Linked DNA regions of Rhinolophus ferrumequinum. The protein of the gene in region 1 purifies or fractionates together with the protein of each later gene. This does not show direct contact. Links are inferred from orthologs where the notes say so. Each region holds a gene or a part of one and is shown in the gene's direction. Other genes may lie near its edges.

Region 1 (7,320 bases):
TTGTTTATTTGTCTGTTTGTTTTTTTTAATTGTGACAAAATACACATAACATAAAATTCCATTTTAACCATTTTTAAGGGTACAATTCAGCAGTGTTAAGTATTTTCACATTGTTGTGCAACCAATCTCCAGAATTTTTTCATCTTGTGAAACTGAAACTCTACAGTATGTACATTAAACAACTCCCCATTTCTCCCTCCCTCTACCCCTGGCAACCATCATTCTACTTTCTGTTTTTATGAATTGACTACTCTAGATATCTCGTGTATGTGGAATCACACAATATTTGTCCCTCTGTGACTGGCTTATTTCACTTAGCGTAATATCCTTAAAGGTTCATCCATTTTATAATATGTGTCAGAATTTCCTTCCTTCCACTTCTTGTTCTCAGATGTTATGGCAGAGTCAAATTAAGTCCTGCTAAAATTACATGCTTAAGACAATCAGATATACTTCATTTAAATGTGATTTGTACTTCTGTGCTCAAAATAGCCAACAATTATTTCCCATTCCTCATAAAACCAAACATATCTCTCTGCACCTCATTTCTAAGTCCTCCATATGCATCATCAACATAAGGATTTACTAACCACTTTCTATGTGCTTGACATTGTAAAACAGGATCTGGTAACTACAGAAAAAAAAATGTTTTCATCATTAAGGAGTGTGCAGTTTACATAACAGTGTAGCTATAAGAGGAGATGATACAATTTTCCAGAAACAGCAAGCAATATAAAATTTAGTGTTAAAATATGTCAAAATATATAGGAAGATGGATAATTGAGGCTTAATTCCTGATGGAAGTATCTAGAGAAGAAGGAAACCTTTACACGTGTGTGGTTATTCAGGTTGTTGAAAGGACAAAAGGCCTACACCATAACCCACTACCTGCTTGCCTCTAACTGGTCTAATGCTTTGACATTTTTGAAACCTAATTTTAGCTTTGTTATCTTCCCAAGAAGTGAATATAAAATGTCATATTAATATATCATTTTACTGATGAGGAAACTGAATAATATTGAGATTTAAGCAACATATTTAAAGTTTGCAGCAAATAGCATAGTTGGGCCTAAATGACATATTCATTCAAAACACATTTATGAGTACTCACTATCTGCTAGATACTGAACATAGCACTGTTATTTGAGTTTTAACTCTTGTCATCATTTTAATCATCTGCTAAGCATTCCCTTTTGGTATTTCTTAGAGATATATTAAAACTGTTGCTTTGTTGTTATTGTTGTTTTGCCAGGAACCAACAGATCACAGAAAAATAAAATAAAATGGGACACAAATATAATCAGAATGTATGGAGTATTGTAGTTGGATAAGGTCATAATTTTACACAGTATCATCAAGCTACCTCTCTTTGAAGTCTCCCCTGGTGAGTAGGAAGATAAAGATACCTTTAGCTAAGGAAGTTTATCCAGGCAAGGAATTCAATTTGGAAGCAAGAAAGGAGGAGGCCTTTTAAGACTGGTTATTAGTGATTTATGGGCTTCTCTGCTTGTGGAAATCCTCCTGTTCAAAGCTTAAATCAAATACTACCTCCACCATGAAGGCAATTCTGATGCATCAGTTATTATTCAGTAATTCTTCAGTTCTGTTTAAGTAATCCCTTGAAATACGAGCTCATTTCAGGCAGCTGAAAGGAGAAAAAGTCTTCTCAGCAAATGGTGATTGGTTCTCCCATGAAACCACCAAAGTTCATTATACACTCACGGAATGATAAACAGAAAGATAAATAGACAAGACTGTAAGTGATTGTCTTATGATACTCCCAAAGAGAATGTAAAACCTTCACTCCATTATTGTGAGTAAAGGCCAAGAAGATCTACTAAGTGCTAGGCACCATACCAGGAATGAGAGTGATTAAAAAAACGCTCCATTTGAGGGAGGATTTGGTCTAATGAACAGTCTTAGGAATACAGATATGTAGTCAAATCATTACTATATGTTGTGATGGACACATTCCATAGAAGCAGCACAAGGTCTACAAGGGAGTGATTAGCTCTGCCCTGCCCGCTCCCCAATAACTCTGACCTCATCTACAGCCTCTTCCTCCCTCCCTCTTCAGCTACATTTGGGGTTCCTCGAACACACTAAGTATGTTGTTGTCCCAGAACCTTTGCGCTTCCATACTCCCTCTGTCTGATAGGACTTCATCCAGCAATCTACCCAGCTTACTTTTTCTTTCCATTCATGCCTCTGCTCTTGTATCACCTTATCAGAGTGGCCTTTTCCTGACACGATATAAAATTGCACCCTATCCCTCTTCATTACCCCACTCTGGGTCTTCCTATTCTGCTTACTTTTCTTTATAATCCTTATCACCGCGTGACATATGTTTAGTGGTTGTCTCCTCAGAATGAAAGCTTCATGAGAGGAGGACTTTGTCTTACTCACTGTCGAATCTATTAATATGTAGCCTAGAAGAGTTCCTGACACTTGTGGAGCCTCCATAAATATTTATTGAATGAATAAAAATATGGGAGGAGATAAAGTGGAATTCAGGAAAGAATTCATGAAGTTGATTATGTTGCAACAGAGTTCAGAAGGATGCAAGAGATTATCCTAAACAGATTCGGGAGACTGGGAATAGCAGGTAGAAGAGTGTTCAAAGGTAAGGGGGATTGGAGCAGCCGGATGGCTCAGTTGGTTAGAGCGGAAGCTCTCAACAACAAAGTTTCTGGTTCAATTCCCACATGGGATGGTGGGCTGTGCCCCCTGCAACTAAAGATTGAAAACAGCAACTGGACTTGGAGCTGAGCTGCGCCCTCCACAACTAGATTGAAGGACAACGATTTAGAGCTGATGGGCCCTGGAGAAACACACTGTTCCCCAATATTCCCCGATAAAATTAAAAAAAATTATAGAAAACAAAACAAAACAAAAAGGTAAAGGGGATTAAAACCATATGATTTGTTTAAATAATACAAAATGGTGTCATATTGGTGGAATGTAAATACTTTGTATGTGCTTCTATTGTATCATAGTCTCCTTTTCCCCTTGTAGGAGAGTTAGTTGTTTATCACCCTTTCTCTACAGAGCTCTTTGAGGGTAGGGGCTATGTTTTACTCATGTCTTTATTTTCCAAGTTCTTAAACAGCAGATGTCAGTAATTGCCAAATAAATGAAAAAACAATATTTACTGATTAGAGAGTATGTAAACATATTGATTTTTGTAATTAAAATAGATTTCTTTCCGTTGAAAAGTGAGTGTCCTATTTGAAAACATCATAACTAAAAGGGACTTTAGAGATCATCTCATTCAAATTTCCCATTTTATAGCTGAGAAAACTGAAGCATAGAAAGGTTGATTACCTGAGGTCATGCAACTATGTTATAGTTGAGAACGAGAATACCAGTTTTGACCCATCATGTGTCATCTTCTTGAAGGATGTGTTCTCAAAAGTGGCCTGAAAATTTGGCATTATCTATTGACTTAAAAACTGCACATACTTTATGACATATACACTTGTATTATACAAATGTGCAAGAAGTCATGGACATAGGTCTTCATTGTAGGGTTTTTTGTGTGTTAAAGTGAAAAGTTGAAAGCAATTGTACATCATTTTATGAGAGCTATGCTATAGAATATTATGAAGCACTTAAAAATGGACATAGTTTGACACATATGTACTAACACACAAGGATCTTTAACACACTGTTGAGTTAAAAAAAAAAAGCGATCTGCAGAATACATACAGTATTGTATCCTTTAAGACTAGTTAACCTCAATTTCTCCCACAAAAACAATACAATCTACATGAAGTAAATGTATAAAAAGTTTCAGAATGATTCACACACACAAAAAAACAAGGGCTGCCTCCAGAAAGGAACGTAGTAGATGAGGGGATCTTTGAACTTAATTATAATGCTTTATTTTAACAAGGAGAATGCATTACCTATATGTTAAAATTTTTGTTTGCTGTTAAAATTAATTTTTCAAGAAAATGGCCATGAATTATGATTTCTTCTCTATTTAGTGAGAAAAAAGGGACTGAAGTTAACGATTCTGTATCAAGGGTGATACAACACGTAGAGAATAAAATAAGGCCTTTCAGAAAATTAAAAGACAGCAAAAATGGTTGAGAAAATAAAGCATCAAGGGCAGAAGGGAACAATGGAGTACTCACAGGGAAAGGCAATATGGGTTATTAGAAAACGGCTGGGGGAGGGAAACCCTAGTTTACCAGGGAGAAATCAACGCTAAAAAGGCTAAGCGGGATTCCATAGGGGCGGGGCCAACTACGGTGCGCACGCGCAAAGAGGCCCAGCTGGCCGCCTCTGCGGAAGCGAATTCACCTAAAGACCTCGCGCCGCTCGTCTGCTGCTGCGCGTGCGCAGGCGGGTCAATATCGGAGACTTCTTTGCCGCCTCCGGCGCTGTGGCCGCCTCCAGTGGATTGGAGTTTTAGCCTTTCTTTGGTCGCCGGCGGGTTCGTGCCCCTCTCGCACCGTCGGGCAGCGAGGCTGGGGAAGGGGTTGGAGGGGTCTGTTGACCGCCGCCTTTAAGTTGTGCTCGGGGCGGCCATGTCGGCCGGCGAGGTCGAGCGCCTAGTGTCGGAGCTGAGCGGCGGGACCGGAGGGGATGAGGAGGAAGAGTGGCTCTATGGCGGTACGGAACTTCCTGTCCTTTCTCTCTCTCCTGGGTTCTCTCAGGCCTCCCCTCCTGGCCCACAAACGGTCGGCGTCCCAGGCCTCTCACGCTGCCGTCTGGGGCCTCTCGTCCGGCCTAAGTCAGGCGGAGCGCGGTGTGCGCGTCTCCCCGCCCCCTCGGCCTCCTCTCGCCCTGCGAAGGGCTCCCAACACTCACCCGAATCGTGGCGGCGGGGATCCGACCGGGGTCGCGGGGCCAGGCCTCCAGTCTCTCCCGCCTCCCCGCCGGGGCTTCTCGGCCGCCTCGCCTTCGCGCTCTTTCCTCTTGTTTTTTATATCGATTGAGTAGTGTCGCTGTGTCTCTTCTTACCCCTTGGCTGTAGGATGCCCTTCCTGTCGCTTTTTTCAGAAACAATCATTCTGTAATAATAGCTAAATAAAGTCGATGCCATAAAACTAACGTCTTGTTTCTTGATGGTCAGTTTGTATGGAATGCACCTGCAAGGGTACCTCCTTGTCTGAAAGTCGTGCTTTAAAAATAATTAATTAAAAGAGAGAGAAAGAGATGGAATACATTATGGCCCATAAAGAGAACCCCGAATGTCTCCTGTATTAAGGTGAAGTTTTTCTTATTTAAGAGATTGCTCTTTAAACCACACTATAGAAGTACCATGTGTCCCTTAGGTTTATAGTTTTCACTGTCATCTCGTGTTTCTTTTCTCGAAATAAATTTAGTGCATCTTGTACTTTTTGAAAGGGACTTTTTTAGACATCTGTTTAATTTTTATTAAGCCATAGTCCCTTCTTGCCTGTTAATCGATATTAGATTTGAAAGTTAATATTTGTTCCTCGTCTAAAATGTATATTCTTGATTGTCTTTAGAATAGTGTAGTGAAAAACGTTTGGCCACTATGCGGCTAGCTCCTTGATGATGTGACTGACAAACTTGGATTTTCATCAACCTGTAAAATAAGTATCTTTAGTGGAAAGATTTAGCATTAGGAATACTTTAGAATGTAAATGTATAGGGTTTCTTTTACAAAGATCTAGAAGTCTTGAATACCTGTTAAGTTTATTTTTATAGAAGTCAAGTCTGATTTTATTTTTATTTTTCATGAAAGACATATCTTGTTAAGTCATTATAAGGTGATCTAACTTTGGATGTGCTTATAGGCCCATGGGACGTGCATGTGCACAGTGATTTGGCAAAGGACCTAGGTTAGTGCTTGTGATGATCACTTCAGATTTTCATAATACTGGTTTCTTTAAGAGTAGTTTGTTTGTTAATTGTATTTATTTATTTATGTATTCTTTTTGGTAGATGAAAATGAAGTTGAAAGGCCAGAAGAAGAGAATGCCAGGTTAGTGAAATTTCTTGTTGATACTTAACACAGGTTGTATGAAACAGTGATTCTAGCAACACATTACCATAATTATTTCATTACAATCATTGGTTTGGTTTGATTACAGCGTTTTGAATATAGGTTGGAAGACAATGAATCCTTTGCAGTTTATTCCTATTGCAGGACCTATTCTTAAACCAGTCTGTTTATTTGCTAGTAGCATAGGGGACGAAGTTTTTGAAGTAGGGGTTTAAATACTTTTCACTATTAAGTAAGTTTTTACCCTTAAGTGAGCTCAACAGTGGAGTATGCAGTATAACCGTTAGGATACCAAAAAAAATTTTTAAGTTAAAATTTTTGAAAGTAATCTCTTACTACTTTCACAATTTATTAATATTTCTGATGGTATAATGTACTTTGGTTGTAATTTCAATGTTTTGTATTTATTTAAATTCAAACTGGAATTAATGATTCCCTTCATTAGATTACTAGAAAGGTATGAATATTGTTTACAAAACATGTACAGGGAACCAGAAACTTATTCTAAATTTCAAAACAAATCACACATACAAGTCCATGGATATGCTAACATTGCTCTGACCAGATTCTTTAGTGTGGCATAATGGGGAAGAGGTGGTTAAAAAAACAGCTTTTAAAGAATATTTGGGTTTAAAATATTTGGCTGTAATAAAAAAGACAGTAAAAGGTGTTGGTGACGATATGGAAAAATTGGAACCCTCATACACTGATGGTGGGATTGTAAAATGGTGCAGCTGTTTTGGCAAAAATCTGGCAGTTTCTTAAAAGATTAAACAGAGAGTTACCATATGATCCAGGAATTCCACTCCTAGATAAATACCTTAAGAGAAATGAAAACAGACCCACACAAAAACTTGTACAGTCCTCACTTCATTGATAGGTTCTGCGATTTTAAGTGAAACTACCTAAAAGGAGACCAATTTTACCACTGATAATAAGCCAGTTATGTTCCTACAGCATCTCATCAACATAACAAAAGTATGTTGAACGAAAGGATGTTATTTGAGCACCTGCTGTACATGAATGCTCATAGCAGCATTATTCATAATAGCCAAAAAGTAGAAATAACTTGTGTCCATCAAATAATGAAGGGATAGATAAAGCGTGACATATTTATACAGTGGAATATTATTTGGCAGTAAAAAGGAATGAAGTACTCGTGTATTACAGCATGGGTGAACCTTGAAAACATGCCAAGTGGAAGAAGCCAGTCACAAAGGACTACATATTATATGATTCTGTATTAAATGGACAGAATAGGTAAATCCATGAAAGAAGATAGTCTTTGCCAGGACTGGGTACAGGGCAAAATGGGGAGTGAATATTAATACGTACAA
Region 2 (7,798 bases), on another chromosome or scaffold:
TATAGATGCGTGTCAACATGTATAATTCCCTCTGTGTGGCTGTGTGGCATTGGTCGATCCTGGGGACTCTGGTCTGGGGAATTCCATGGAATGACCAGGTTCTTATAAACCCTGACCAATCCTCCAGCTGCTGTGGCGGTCGCCAGGGCCGGCAGGAGTCATCAGCAGTCAGGGAGGCCTCAGCACTGAGTGGTGGAAGCCTGCCCCCATCCCTTCCCCAGGGAGGGGGTCACAGGTGAGTGGGGAAGGCAGGGGCAGGGCAGGCTGAGGAGGCCTCTGGTGAGAGGGAAAGCCTGCACCCCACCTGCCCTCCCATTCATTCAGTTACCTGTCCACCCAGCACAGATATTTTTGCCATTCCTTCTGGAGAAACACCAGGTCATTCCCTTGAGGTGGAGGTGGTGGGGAGACAATTTTAGCCTGCTTTGAGGAGCCATTGGCCAGGGATACCACTTGGGGCAACATGGGAGTAGGGCCCCAGTTGGCAATGCTCCTAGCTATGCTGGAGTCAAAAGTGGCAGTCCATACCTGATCGTGAGCCTGTGGAGGGTCTCTAGGACTGGGACTAAGCAGGCAGTACCTCTTTCCACAAGCCTTCACCAGTCGGAAAGGGCTGGACTTTTCCCTCCTTAGACAAGGTTGCTGTATGGACCTCTGTTCTCCTGCTAGTTTTCCCCACTAAACAGAGCTTATTTGATATTTGTGGTCCCTGAATCGCCAGCCAGGGCTTCAAGTGGTACCCAGCAAATGTTTGTGGAGTGAATGCATGAATGAACACAATAGAACCCAAACAAGAAGGGAGGTGTGGCTTTGTTCACACAATGGATTTGGGGAAAATGAGTGTTTCCCCAAATGGCTGTTGATTCATTAAGTGACACACAATGGGTGTATTTAGTGATGTCTGCTGGAGGCCACAATAATGGGTGGGATGTTCATTCATTCATTCATTCATTTATTCATTCATTCATTCATGTATTTTTGTTCCCAACTCCCTGTCCAGGTCCTGGGTGCCAGGCCCTATGCTAGAGCTGGAGACACAGTGATGCACAAGACAGAGGCAGCCCACCTCCCTGGGAAGGCAAAATGGTGAAGGAAGTAGACGTGGATGTCAGGTAGCATGTACGAAATTCATCCATAAGGAGCTAGAGGGTCTATACAGAGATCTGGCTCAGGCTGGGCCCAGAGAAGGCTTTCTTTGGGAACAATCTTTTTGGGGAGGAGTGTTCTAAACAGGAAGAATGACACAGTCAAAGGCCATGGAACTGAAAAATGCCCTGGGCGCTGGATCATTGAGTTTGAGGCTGCACATGGTAAGAGAGGCCATCAGGGACACCTTTGAGAGGTTCTATATATGGAATTGACATGATCACAATCATATTGTTAGAATATCACTCTGCCTACCGAGTGGAATTAGGCTAGGGGGAGTTGAATGGAAGCTGTGGGCCAGGATGGACTGTCCAGGTGGGAGATGATGGTGTCCTGAATTTGGACTGTGGCTGCAGGAATGGAGAGCAGTAAGTGAACTGAGAGACCCACCAGGTAATATCTACAATGGGGGAATGTGGTGGGGAAGAAAATGGAAACGACTGGGAGATGTTGATTTCATTTCCTGAGGTATGGGAAATGCTGGAGCAGGAACATTTTGGGTGGCGTGGGTAGGGTGTGGGGAGATAATGAGTTTGTCTATCAAGTGGCCACAAAGAAAAGACTATGTGGGTTTGGAGCAGACCTGGGCTAGAGATTCAGAACCTAGAATCATGGATTTACATGGGCCCAGTAGCTCCTGGAGGGCATGAGGGAATTTCAGATGTAGATGGTTGAATAGTGGCCCCTAAAAAGATATGTCCATGTGGCCTGGACCCTGTGAATGTGATCGTATTTGGAAAAAGGCATTTAGCAGATATAATGAAGAATTATGAGATGAAATTATTCTCATTACATGGGTGAGCCCTAAATCCAATGAAAAGTATCCTTAGAAGAGAAGAGAAGATGCAGACACTGAGGAATGGGGGTGGGGTGGGTCCCGGACTCTGAGGCCTTGTGGAGGCCTTAGTCAGTCCTTTGGCTACTGCTGTGTGGAACAAGGCGTTAAAGAGACACGCATCGTTTCATGTAGGCAGCAAACATTTATTTGCGGTAGGGGCTGAGGATATGATGATGGGCAAAAACACATATAACTGACATATTCCTGGAGCTCCCAGGCCAGGTGGTGGTGATGGTGGGGTAGATATTAATCAAACAATGATTCAACTACATCAACTGTGGCAAGTCCTACAAAGCACACAGGGCATGAGAGGCTGTTCTAGGATGTGTTGACCTGGTCAGGGAAGTGAGGAAAATCCCTCTGAGGGCATCAGGAGGGTTTAATTGGGAAGGAAGGAAATTTTTCTAGATAGAAGGAACAGCATATGCAAAGGCCTGAGACTGGGTGGCAGAGGGTGGGGGGGAGAATGGCTGGAAGGACTGGAGGAGGTCAGTGTGTCTAGAGAAGTGAGCAGGGACCAAACCATGTGGGGCCTTATAGACCACTTTTAGGGTTTTCCCTAAGAACAATGCAATTTACTAAGCTGACAGTGATGGGCTCAGATCTGCATATTGAGATCACTCTGGCTGCAGTGCAGAGGGGAGGTGGGAGAAAACAAGAATGGAGAGGAGCAGCCAGCCAGGAAACTGGAGAGAAATGGATGGAGTAGAGAAAGTTTTAGGTAGTAGGACTGAACGGACATGGGATATGGAAGGATAGGGTCTAGGGGTGAGGCAGGTGGTGCTGAGCATGATTTCCAGGCTTCTGGTTAGGTAACCAATGCGGGGTGGGATGGGGGGTGGGATGGGGTGGGGGGGAGTTCCTTCGGTGAAGCAGGGAATACGGGAGGCCTGGAGGGGGAAGGGAGAAAGCATGAACTCGCTGCTGGACATGTTGCAATTGAGATGCCTATGGACGCTCAAGTGGAGATGTAAGACTCTTCAGTGAATTATGTAATTCTGGAGTTCAAGAGTCAGGGGAAGCGTAGAGAGAGAAATTTGTGCGTGATCTGTGTATAGGAAGAAATTATAGAAAGAGAAGAGGGAAGTACAGCGCCTTGGTCTGAGCTTTGAGGAACTCCCAACCTTTACTGACTAACGGGGAGAAGGGGAGAGGAGGATGTGCTGGGTGGGGGTCGGGGGTGGAGGGTGGGCAGAGGGGGCTAGAGAGAGTGGTGGAAAACCAAGGGACATGAGTGTTCCAGGATGGCAGTGGTCGGACTCTGTGGGAGTGTCAAACGCCGCTGGGGGCTTCAGCAGATGAGGACTGAAGAGTAGTTGTTGAATGTAGGACCTTGGAAGTTACAGAGAGTTTACTGAGACCTGGTTTGGTGTTGTGAGCGGGCCAGAAGGCCCACTGAAGGTAGCTGAGGGATGGGAGGGAAGTGAGGATGAGGAGACAGACCACTCTCTCAGGGGACTTTGCTGTGGTTGAGGAGAGAGACCCTGCAATAGTTGGTGGGGTCGAACGAGGGTTTTTGTTTCTTTTCCTTCTATAGTACAGGCTTGAATATATTTATAGGTCAAGGGAAGGATCCAGTTGAAAGGGGGAGGCTGAACATTCAGGAGGGAGAAAGGATTATCCACAGGGCAAGCTCCCGAGACAGGGGACAGGATGGGAGGATCTGGGCAGACAGGGTGGCATAACAGGATGTAGCAGATGCAGGAAGGTTTCTGTTTGGTTTTAGCTGAGCTCTGGCTAGTGGCTGACGCAAGTCCAAACAGAGGCTCATTCCGTTTTTTATGTGTGTTGTGTGTATTTCTGTGTGTGTACTCGTGCCTTCCCCTGGTCTGGACTGCCAGCCTGGAAAGTGTGTATAGGGAACATCCTCATAAGGCCTGGGCAGAAGCTGGACACCTCCCACTCTGGGCAAGCTCCCTGATGAGATTCTCAGATGGTGTTTCCCATCATTCACGTCCAGGAAGGTTCACAGAGCAGGCGTGGGAACCTGGTTGGCCACCAGGGCCTGGTCCAGTTCAGGCTGAGATTTGCTGCATCCCTGCCTTCATTCCCTCCCAGACTGGACTGGCTGAAGAAGTGTCCACTGTTTTTGGCCCATGTTATATGGAAGGGATTGGGCAAACCAAGGGGTAGCCTCAGTATGCGAACACTCTCCCATGCCCCCAGTCTATGATGGGCTCCCTTCTCATCAACCCATCACCTACACATTTATCAGGAGGAGGACTGCCTGGCCCAGAAGTCGGAATCCCTTTGGAAGCTTGACTCTGGGGGGTGGACACCAGGTACCTAGTCTTCTTCAGGGCGTTCTCCACTGCTGTGTCCGGTCCCCTGTTATCCGGGCTCCCTCCCGGGCACACTTTCCCCCCACCTTCCGGTGGTGATCATGGGGGCGGGGGCAGAAGCCCTCTGTACCCAGGAGGACCACCAAGGCACGAGCTAAGGCCACGCGAGTCCGCCAGCACCCAGGGACGCTCCCCTTAAGGTACGGGCTCCAGGATCGGGTCGCGGGCCCTTCTGCAGCCGCCCGGGGGCTGGGGAGGAGGGCGGGGCGAGTCCCACAGGTGGGAGCCGGGTTAGGGGAGGCGGGCGCGGCGTACGTGCGGCCGGCGGCGGGCCACATGAAGGGCGCGCAAGCGGCTCCCGCCTGGCCCGAGGCCCGCTCCCTGCTCCCGCGCCATGGGGCTGCCCGGGCCTTCCCCGGGATCGCTGGCGGTGGCGACCCGTGGCCGAAGCTCGCCGCGCGCGGAGCAAGGGGCCCGGCCCGCTCGGGGGCGGGAGGTGGGGACGTGGCTGCGGCTCAAGCGGGCGGAGCCCGGCCGCGGCGGGAGGCGGAGCAGCCGAGGGAGGAGGTGCTGAGCGGGCCGGGCGCCGCCACGGGAGGTTCTGGAAACGCCGGGAGCGGCGCGTGTCCAGGTGAGCGCCGTGCCGGCTCGGCCTCCGGGTCCGCCGCGGGGCTCCGGCGCAGGCCTGTGTCGCCGGGCGGTGCGTCGAGCCCGCGCGGGGCAGGGGGTAGGGGACCAGGGGTCCCGCCGCTCGCATGGCAGCCCGGGCCGCAGCCCCGCGCCCGCCGCCCTGTTTCTACACCCGTCTGGGTTTCTGTCCCGCCGCCTGCGTCCCCTCCCCGGGCCCAGGGTGGTAAGGTCAGCGGCGCTCTTCCTGTCTGTCCCCTCGGCGGCCGCGCCAGGCGGGGAACTTGGCCGCCCTGCCTTGTCAGGCTCCCCGGGAAGGGGCGGCCTGGCCCCGAGGCCACAAGTTGGAGACGAGGCAGGGGCGTGGGCCAGGCCCTGAGAGGCAGCTTCACGTTAGTGAGGTCCACCTCACCGCCTCCGGAGGGCAAAGGGCTGGGAGTCTGTGCTTTGATACCGCAGGGTCCAGCTTGGTGCCCATTAAGACAGGCTGTTGTATGGGAAAGTTTTGTGTTTTTTTTTCCCCCCTGCAGAATCCCTTTCGAATCTGTGTTGTTTTTCCTCAGCAACTGCGGAGACCTGTTATAACGACTTAACTAATTCAACAAACGGACCCTTCTGTGAGTCAGAAACTCTAAGGGGTTGCTAGCCCAGTGGGGCAGACTGACTGGAAGACCAAGAAAATCCAAGCTCAGAGCCGTGTGGTGAGTGTTGTGCTGGGAGGGAACACAGGGGCTATGGGTACTTGGTAGAAGACAGGATGCTTCAGGCCAGAGGGCTTCCTCGAGGAGGTGACTCATGAGCTGGAATGGTGTAAAGAGTAACCCGGACAGAGGAACAGCCTGTGTGAGCAGGAGTAGACCTGGGCTCTCTAGTGGAAATAAGGTGATGCGGGAAGGGACACTTTAGGGGATAGCTGCCCATGGACCCACAAGAGCTGCAAGTGAGAGGACAGTTCCTAGAACTGTGCCCTGCAGGTGGAGGGTGCTCAGTGAACCCTGCAGCATGAGAGTGGATCAGGGTGCTTCCTTCTTCAGGACAGCATAGGTGCGTGCCTGGCCTCTGCATTCTAATCTGACACCTTTAAGATGGTGTAGAAGAACATTAGAGTCCCTCCCAAGACTGAGACTGGTGTCTTCTGCTGTCATGACACCTACGGCTGGTGCCTGACAGTCTCAGCCCTCCTGCAGGAGATCCTGGCCCGAGAACAAGGGTTGGGGGAATGTCACTTTGTATTCTAAGACGTCTCAGGTTTTGTAGAGATCCACTGTCCACCTAAGGGTTTATAGAATGTTTTTGCATGGTTGAGTTCTTGTCTGTTAAATGTACCAAGATTTCCTTTGGCTTGTGCTTAAACTGCCCCTGAAGTATCCAGTCTCTTACTGGTTCTGGGCCTCAGGACTCAGCATTTTTGTTCACTGCTCCCACTCATGAGATCTTTGAGCTGTGAATTCTTCTAGTGTCTTCTTATTCTCAGATGGCCAAACATGTCCACTGTGCAGCCCAGCCAAGGGAGCCACGTAGCAAGGATGGAGTGAGTTGGCTGGGGGCCTCAGCCCAGAATGTTGTCATACTGGGCCACCCTAGTTCTCTGAGAGCTCAGCAGGCAGACATGGTGACAACTCGTCTGTGGTTTGTGATCGTAGTCCCTTCGCCCTTTTGCAGGCTCTGAAGTGGGGTGCCTGGGAGAGTGCTTACTTTGTTGCTTGGTTAGTGTGGCTGCAGCTGATCTCGTGTTTATTCTTTGAGTACCTCCTGTGTGCCTGGCTTCTGCTTAGAACATGTCTGGGGCCGGAATGAGGGAGGAGGCGGAGGAGGCGGCCGAGGTGGTGGCACTGTTCTTACCCGTGGGTAGCTCATCTCTCTGAGATTGCTGCTTCACACTACACGGGCAGCTGGCCATGTGCCAGAGGAAGAGCGCAGAGTGTCAGTGCTTATTAGAAAGAGAGACTGCTCGGGTGCAGCCCTGAGAAATGAGTGGGGTGAGGGAATCGGGGGTCTACTCATTTCCGGGGAGAGCCTCACTTTTTGACTCTGCCCTCCCACAATCTTGGGAGGATCTGAGGCTGGATGCAAGACCTTGGCCGGTTTATGGCCACGTTGGCTGATAGTGTGCATTGGGCTGGTGGGTGTGTCCCTGGCTCCTGGGAGCTGTCAGGAGTTTAATTTTATGCAGATGGAGGTTGGCAGGAAATGCTATGATGCAGGCACGTGCAAGCCCGGACAGAGTGCTAGAGCGAGAGTTAATCTGAAAAAGTTGCTCGAATCTAGCAATTTGGACTTTTGAAGTGCCCCAGGGTGGGACATCAGCCTGTCCTAGAGCAGAGAGAGCTGGTGGCTCCTGTGGCGTCTGGGGTTTGTGCTGGGGCTGTGGAATGAGGGATGTAGTTTTTATCCACAGAAGGAGCAGAGGGGAGTGAAAAGTCTGGTTTAGACTTGTTGGAGCCCTAGAAGAGAGTTTTTTGTTCAAGTGGTGTCATTGCAAGGCAGAAGATTAAGTGTTTGGGGAGTAAGTTCTTCATCTCAGATAGGATGTCTGAGCCCGATCCCAGACCACTGTCTGCTCTAGACCTTTCAGGAAGTGCTTGCTAGAATGTAGCCTGTGCTGTACCTGGCATTCCTGAGGGCCAAGCTGTGGCTGAGATCCTGAGGCCTCATACTTGTAGGAACTCAGAGCGAGCAGGTCAGAGGCATAGAAATATGTGAAATCTTAGAAATCTTAGAGTATTGGTTCAGTGTCTGGCCTTTTGCCGGAGAACTTTCCTGCCTTAGTGAGCTTTAGAGCCAGTAGTTGACAGTTCCAGGGTTGTTCCCTGTTGGCTATTGTGCTGCATTGCACCTGACTCCATTCTGTCCTGAGTTAATGTTTCATCTCTTTGCGCAGTCCTAGGACCTGGAGATCGATTGC
Region 3 (6,924 bases), on another chromosome or scaffold:
TTGACTTCTGTAAGTACAAGAGGTGCTCAAAGTGGTTACCATCAGCATTCAGACATTTCTGATTACGGCAAACTATCGCTTGAGCAACGCTCACAAAGTGTCCACTCATATACATTTTTTTGGCACCCCCGGTATTTATGGAATAAAAGAATTAATATAAGGCACTTTGTTGATTGACAAGAAGAATCCATCTTTGCTCTTTCCTTGAATGATATGGTTTACTAAAAGGTAGAAAAGTTACTCTCATTCGCCAGGTACAGATAAAGAATGGTTTATATCCAAAGAAAAATGAACTTACTTCCAATCTAGAGGAAGGAGGAAGAAGATTAAAGAGAACTTTGTGTAGGAGTGTATTTTGATCTATCTCTGTGTATAGGGACCCACACATTTATTTCAAAAATGTCATAACTAAAAATATTTTTTAGTACCTCTCTTTGGAATCTAATTAATCTATAGTGAATCTCTGTTAGTATGCTCAAAGGATACAGAATCTTTATATTCTGATGTATGTCTTGATATTTGGAAAGAGCTAATATATTTTTACCACATCTGGTCAGACATTTAGGTGATTTAGTTACATAACTCTGTTCTTGGTTGAAAACAAGGTATACCTTCGAGTTAAGGCACCAGTTTTCTAGTATGACATAAAAATGGAGCCCTAAAACAACTTTAGAATAGGACTTTAGAAATCATTTTGAACAACAGAAGTCCAAATGGATTAAGTTTCCAGTTTCTGAAGGTGATTAGTTTGAAGGATAGCCCCCATTTGGCCATATGCCTTGATGTGTTTGTTTAAAAATCACTCTTAGTACAGCTGATATTTTGATTTATTGGATCAATGCCTGAACATGCAAGATGCCACATCCATTTTTCTTCAGAGTATATGTCATGCTATAAATATCTAAACTTTAAACATTATGGGAACAAAAAAAGCAGTATAAAATGTAAGTTCTTCCAGGGTAAACCTATGATGCTACCAGGAAATGTACATAGGTTCCTAAAAGCTCTTTGTAATTCTGGGCCACTCAGTTAATAATAAATATTAGTTTATTGGTCCTGAGCATTGAGCTATGTGCTGGAACACACTGGTCTTCTATGGAGAAGACCATATCAAACCATGTATGGTTTTCTAAGGAGAAGGCCATATCTTCTAGGGAGCCATATCAAACCATTCTTCTAGTTTGGAATATGAGGACTAAAGAGAACATGGAAGACCGATGACAAAAAGGCTTCTTCCCTCTTGTTCATCCCCAGTCCCTCAGCTATTCTGTTCACACATCCTTTGAACCCAGGGTATCTTCAGAGTGGGATCAGCATGTACTAGTGTTACTAGATCAGCATTAAAGTATTAATAATTTTTAAAGACCATCCATATCTTATACTTTTTAACAGAGTGCACTAAATTTTGTCCTGATACAAATGATGAAAACAAAAGTGGATAAACACTTCAAGTCCCTTTGTTTAGAACAATGATTCTTAAAGTGAAATCCCCTAACCAGCAGCGTCAGCATCACCTGGGAACTCGTTAGAAATGCAAATTCTCCACTCCTACCTCAGAAATATTGAGTCCGAATTGGGGAGGAGAGGTGAAGAGACCCAGCGATCTGACTTAAGCCATGGATCCAGGTGGTTCTGATGTATGCTAACGTATGAAGACCGCTGGTTTAGCTATTATCAGAGCATCAGTAAAGAAACTGTCACGTCAGGGCGGCGGGTTGGCTCAGTTGGTTATAGTGCAGTGTTTATAACACCAAGGTTGTCGGTTCAATTCCCACATGGGCCAGTGAGCTGTGCCCTCCACAACTAGATTGAAAACAACGACTTGACTTGGAGGTGATGGGTCCTGGAAAAACACACTGTTCCCCAATATTCACCAATAAAAATTACAAAAAAACAGCAACTGTCAGATAAGCTGTGCAACCTTTTATGAACTTTATAATTTATCCTAATAGCCTATTGCTATCTTCATGATTACTACATTTAACATACACACAATTTCACACATAATTGTCTGACCGAATGTGTGTAAAAAAGTCATGGCTTCTCTCCTTAAAGAGATAGTATGGAAAGGAGACAAATGTACTTGTTTTTAGTTTTCCAAAATGACATCTTCCTCAACTCCCTTCCACCTCCACCCTGCCTCCAATAAAAGAATCAGGGGGGAAAACCATTACTACTAGGCTCTATTCTGTTTCTTTTGATAGAGCAGAAAGATTTTAATAGGTGATATAAATGCACTTTATCACTTGCAGATATCAGTTACAATGTGTCTTGCGTGAATAGCTATGTCCAAGTCTGTTTTAAAGAACAATTAAAACATTTGAAGGTAAATGAAGGCTTCACCATATTTGTAGCTAAACCTCATACTCATTTCAGATATATTCATTGGACATAGGTTCCTAATAGCTCTTTGTAATTCTGGCCACTCAGTGATGATGATACTCAAGACACATAAAACAATTTTTGATGAAACAAAGTTTCATAATCCCCTCAAAAAGCATACGTAGTTACTCTAGTCTTTGTAATGATTCTATGTTTAGTAGTTAAAACTCAGGCTCTGGAGCAGTGCAGTCCACAAACATATAATGTAATCCATATATGTAATTTTAAGTTTTCTAAGCAACCACATTTTAAAAAGTAAAATGAGAGATAAATTATATTTTGTTTAATCCTACATATTAAAAATATTACTTCGACATGTAAATAATATAAAGTTAATGATATAATTTTACACTTTTTATAGTCTTTAAAATCTTCCATGTACTTTACACATACGGCACACTTCAATTAGGATGCTAAATTTTCACAAGAAATACTTGATTTTCATTTAGATTTCATAAAATTTATCATTGCTAAAGTACATTCTAAACCCAACTTGTTTCAAACACACCAAAAAGTTTTCCAGTAGCCTCGCTGAGTATCAGTTTTTATTTCACATCAATAAAAAATAAATACAATTAAAATTTCAATTTAGCAGTCACACTGCCATATTTCCAGTACTCGAGAGCTCCAAGTGGCTAGTGGCTATCAATTGGGGCAGCGCAGCTCTGGAGCTGCCAGACCATACCTGGATGAGAATTCTGGCTTTGCCATTTAGTGGTTGCCTAGCAAATTACCTAGCCCTCTCCAAGCTTCAGCTCTACCAGTTCTGTCGTGTGTAGTAGGTGGGGGTAAAAAACCCCACTCCATTATGTATACTCAACTTCTGCCGTCAAAATTAACAGCATAATAGAAACAAATAGTTTGTTTTTTGTTTCATAGTAGTGGTTTTGAAATTACCTATTACTTCACTTTACAGTTATCAGACCAATCTAAATGCCTACAAGGTAAGAAAGGTTAAATTTAATTCATACTCTGCAGCCATAAAATGCTATTTATTGTTAATCATTCATATTAATATCGGTTAAAGAAAACAAGTAGTATTATGCATAGCTCCACTGCTGCCTGCGCGCACAAAGAAAAACTTGAAGGGACCGGCCGCCTATCAACGGCTGTGTTCCTAAGCAACGCGATGGGGCGGGGCTGGAGCTGGCACACATTCGGCTTGTTTCTGGGCAGTTTATTTTCCCAAACTGTTGTGTTTTTTTTTTTCCTAAAACGGAGCTATAAATTTTGTATTTGAAGGAGAAAATCCCAAATCTGTTTTGAAACGACACTTTTCACTTGAAGTCTGGAATGTGATTTTAAATGTAGCTTACATATACTATAATAATGAGAAACTGCTATGTGCAAACACTCGTATCAGAAGGAGGAACGAGCTGCCTCAATCCGTTTTCAGTTGGCGGTTTCCCGCCGGTCAAACGGAAGCAAAACCCGCTCTGACGTAAAGGGAGGCGGCCTCTCCTTGTTACCATGGTGAAGTCTATGCGGCCATCTTTACTGTGGTTAACGCGCACCAAACTTTCCCTGGCGGGGGTGGTGCCGCGCCACGAAAGTCTGCGGAATCAGAGGCGAAAATGGAATTATGAGTCTCAGAAATAAGGTGCTGACAGAACCACGTACGACCAGGATCAGAAACCATTAGCTAATGTAGTGGAACGTAGAGGTGCAGATTCCACCGAAAAGCGGAACGATGTAAACGGACGTGTGACGTTTCTGCCCGGATTTGGAGAGCCGCTTCCGTTGCTCAGCGGAAGTGTCGGTGGCAAGAACAGCCTGGGAAGAATCCGCTCACCGCCGTTTTGAACAGCCGGAATCATGTCGAGTTTGGCGGTGAGAGACCCGGCAATGGATCGATCACTGCGTTCCGTGTTCGTGGGGAACATTCCGTATGAGGCGACTGAGGAGCAGTTAAAGGACATTTTTTCGGAGGTTGGTTCTGTTGTCAGTTTCCGGCTGGTATACGACAGAGAGACGGGAAAACCCAAGGGTTATGGTTTCTGCGAGTACCAAGACCAGGAGACCGCGCTTAGTGCCATGCGGAACTTGAATGGGCGGGAGTTCAGCGGGAGAGCGCTTCGGGTGGACAATGCTGCCAGTGAAAAGAACAAGGAGGAGTTAAAGAGCCTAGGGCCTGCTGCGCCCATCATTGACTCCCCGTATGGGGATCCCATCGATCCAGAAGATGCTCCTGAATCAATTACCAGAGCAGTCGCTAGTCTCCCTCCGGAGCAGATGTTTGAGCTGATGAAGCAGATGAAGCTCTGTGTCCAAAACAGTCACCAGGAAGCTCGAAACATGTTACTTCAAAACCCTCAACTGGCTTATGCGCTGTTGCAGGCACAAGTTGTGATGAGAATCATGGATCCAGAGATTGCTCTAAAAATTCTTCATCGCAAGATACATGTCACACCACTGATCCCAGGCAAATCTCAGTCTGTGTCTGGTCCCGTCTCTGGCCCTGGCCCTGGCCCTGGACTCTGCCCAGGACCCAATGTTTTGCTGAACCAGCAGACTCCTCCAGCACCTCAGCCTCAGCATTTGGCTAGAAGACCTGTGAAAGATATTCCTCCTCTGATGCAGACCCCTATCCAGGGTGGAATTCCAGCCCCCGGGCCAATACCAGCTGCAGTTCCTGGACCTGGTCCTGGTTCCTTAACTCCTGGTGGAGCAATGCAGCCTCAAGTTGGAATGCCAGGGGTTGGCCCAGTGCCTTTAGAGCGGGGACAGGTGCAGATGTCAGATCCTAGAGCTCCTATGCCTCGTGGACCCATGACTGCTGGTGGCCTGCCTCCTAGAGGACTGTTAGGAGATGCTCCAAATGACCCACGTGGAGGGACTTTGCTTTCAGTCACTGGAGAAGTTGAGCCCAGGGGCTATCTTGGGCCACCACATCAGGGTCCACCCATGCACCATGCCCCTGGTCATGACAGCCGTGGCCCTTCCTCACATGAGATGAGGGGAGGGCCATTAGCCGATCCCAGACTGCTAATTGGAGAGCCCAGAGGACCCATGATAGATCAAAGGGGTCTACCTATGGATGGCAGAGGTGGTAGAGATTCTCGAGGGATGGAGACCCGAGCCATGGAAACTGAGGTCTTAGAGACACGAGTGATGGAGAGAAGAGGAATGGAGACCTGTGCAATGGAAACCAGAGGGATGGAAGCAAGAGGCATGGATGCAAGAGGAATGGAGATACGAGGCCCTGGCCCCAGTTCGAGAGGCCCTATGAACAGTGGAATCCAGGGTCCTGTTCCCATTAATTTGGGGGCAGGTGGTCCTCAGGGACCCAGGCAGGTCCCAAGCATTTCAGGGGTGGGAAATCCTGGATCTGGTATGCAGGGGGGAGGCATACAAGGAGCAGGCATGCAGGGGGCAGGCATGCAGGGAGCAGGTATACAGGGAGCTGGCATACAAGGAGCAGGCATGCAAGGAACAGGCATGCAAGGAGCAGGCATACAAGGAGCGGGCATACAAGGAGTGGGCATGCAGGGGGCAGGCATACAAGCAACAGGCATACAGGGGTCTGGCAAGCAAGGTGGAGGTCAGCCTAGCAGTTTTAGTCCTGGGCAGAGCCAAGTAACTCCACAGGATCAAGAAAAGGCAGCTTTGATCATGCAAGTTCTTCAACTGACTGCAGATCAAATTGCCATGCTGCCTCCTGAGCAAAGGCAGAGTATCCTGATTTTAAAGGAACAAATCCAGAAATCTACTGGAGCTTCTTGAAAGGTTTAAAAAATGCTTGGCAGTATCCCAGAAAGTTTTTGGTTTTTTTGTTGTTGTCGTTTGTTGTTGTTGCATGGAGAATGGCTGCAAAAAGCTAACTTCTGCATCCCCTGTACTTGAATGATTAGGATTTCCCTCCTGCCAGAACTAATCTCATTTCTTTTTGTTGTCTTTTTTTTCTGTTTTCCTTTTTATTTTTAATGGGGGCGGGGGGGGCGCTAGGAGTAAGAGGGAGTGGTCTGTTCACTTTAATTCACTATAAATACACAAAAAATAATTCTGAAAATAATTATATTATGCCAAATAAGATTACAAAGAATATGCAGCAATATTAAAAGTGTCTGCAATATGTTTACTACATTTTTTTTTCAAATATTGAGTAAAACGATGTGAAATCTGCACATAAAGACTAAAAGATGACCTGTTAAAATGGTAATGAACCAAGATAGTTTAAGATTTTTAGTTGCGTAAGAAAATAAAGAAGTTTACCTCAAAATTATAAGATATATTTTTGGTAAGTCATTTACAATACAAAATCCTACTTGTGGGGCAGTAGAATGCTGTATTAGGTTAAGCACTGTTTTAGTGCTTTGAAATTATTTTGAAACGTTAGAGCTAACAGGATAAGTCTAAATTTGTGGTATTGGAATTGTTCTTTTCTGAAGTGATGCTACCTGAAAAATCAAGGAATGCATCTAGTGTGATGTTCCATTCATCTCACTCTTACGAGACCAGCCGTATTCTGGCCTGGCCCTGAACGTGGTTTTGCTGGGGCAGTTCTAGGATCATCCAGGTTACTTAAGTTGGCTCTGATGAGAT

Evidence for each region. Proteins that work in one complex are often made in the same cells at the same time.
Region 2: the proteins of FIP1L1 (region 1) and P4HA2 purify together in Homo sapiens (co-immunoprecipitation; 3 studies listed by BioGRID and IntAct, with this or other methods). This does not show direct contact. The link is inferred for Rhinolophus ferrumequinum from reciprocal best matches to the Homo sapiens genes FIP1L1 and P4HA2.
Region 3: the proteins of FIP1L1 (region 1) and CSTF2T purify together in Homo sapiens (co-immunoprecipitation; 3 studies listed by BioGRID and IntAct, with this or other methods). This does not show direct contact. The link is inferred for Rhinolophus ferrumequinum from reciprocal best matches to the Homo sapiens genes FIP1L1 and CSTF2T.

What each region holds. Positions count from the first base shown.
Region 1 is NC_046288.1:15,959,414-15,966,733, forward strand, and holds the start of FIP1L1 (pre-mRNA 3'-end-processing factor FIP1), read left to right. Parts: upstream 1-4,311; 5' UTR 4,312-4,535; coding exon 4,536-4,620; intron 4,621-5,774; coding exon 5,775-5,819; intron 5,820-5,922; coding exon 5,923-5,962; intron 5,963-7,320.
Region 2 is NC_046307.1:8,586,864-8,594,661, reverse strand, and holds the start of P4HA2 (prolyl 4-hydroxylase subunit alpha-2), read left to right. Parts: upstream 1-4,795; 5' UTR 4,796-4,897; intron 4,898-4,982; exon of another isoform or gene 4,983-5,124; intron 5,125-5,456; 5' UTR 5,457-5,594; intron 5,595-7,798. UniProt on the Homo sapiens protein: Catalyzes the post-translational formation of 4-hydroxyproline in -Xaa-Pro-Gly- sequences in collagens and other proteins.
Region 3 is NC_046299.1:34,703,143-34,710,066, reverse strand, and holds CSTF2T (cleavage stimulation factor subunit 2 tau variant), read left to right. Parts: upstream 1-3,921; 5' UTR 3,922-4,197; coding exon 4,198-6,105; 3' UTR 6,106-6,470; downstream 6,471-6,924. UniProt on the Homo sapiens protein: May play a significant role in AAUAAA-independent mRNA polyadenylation in germ cells. Directly involved in the binding to pre-mRNAs.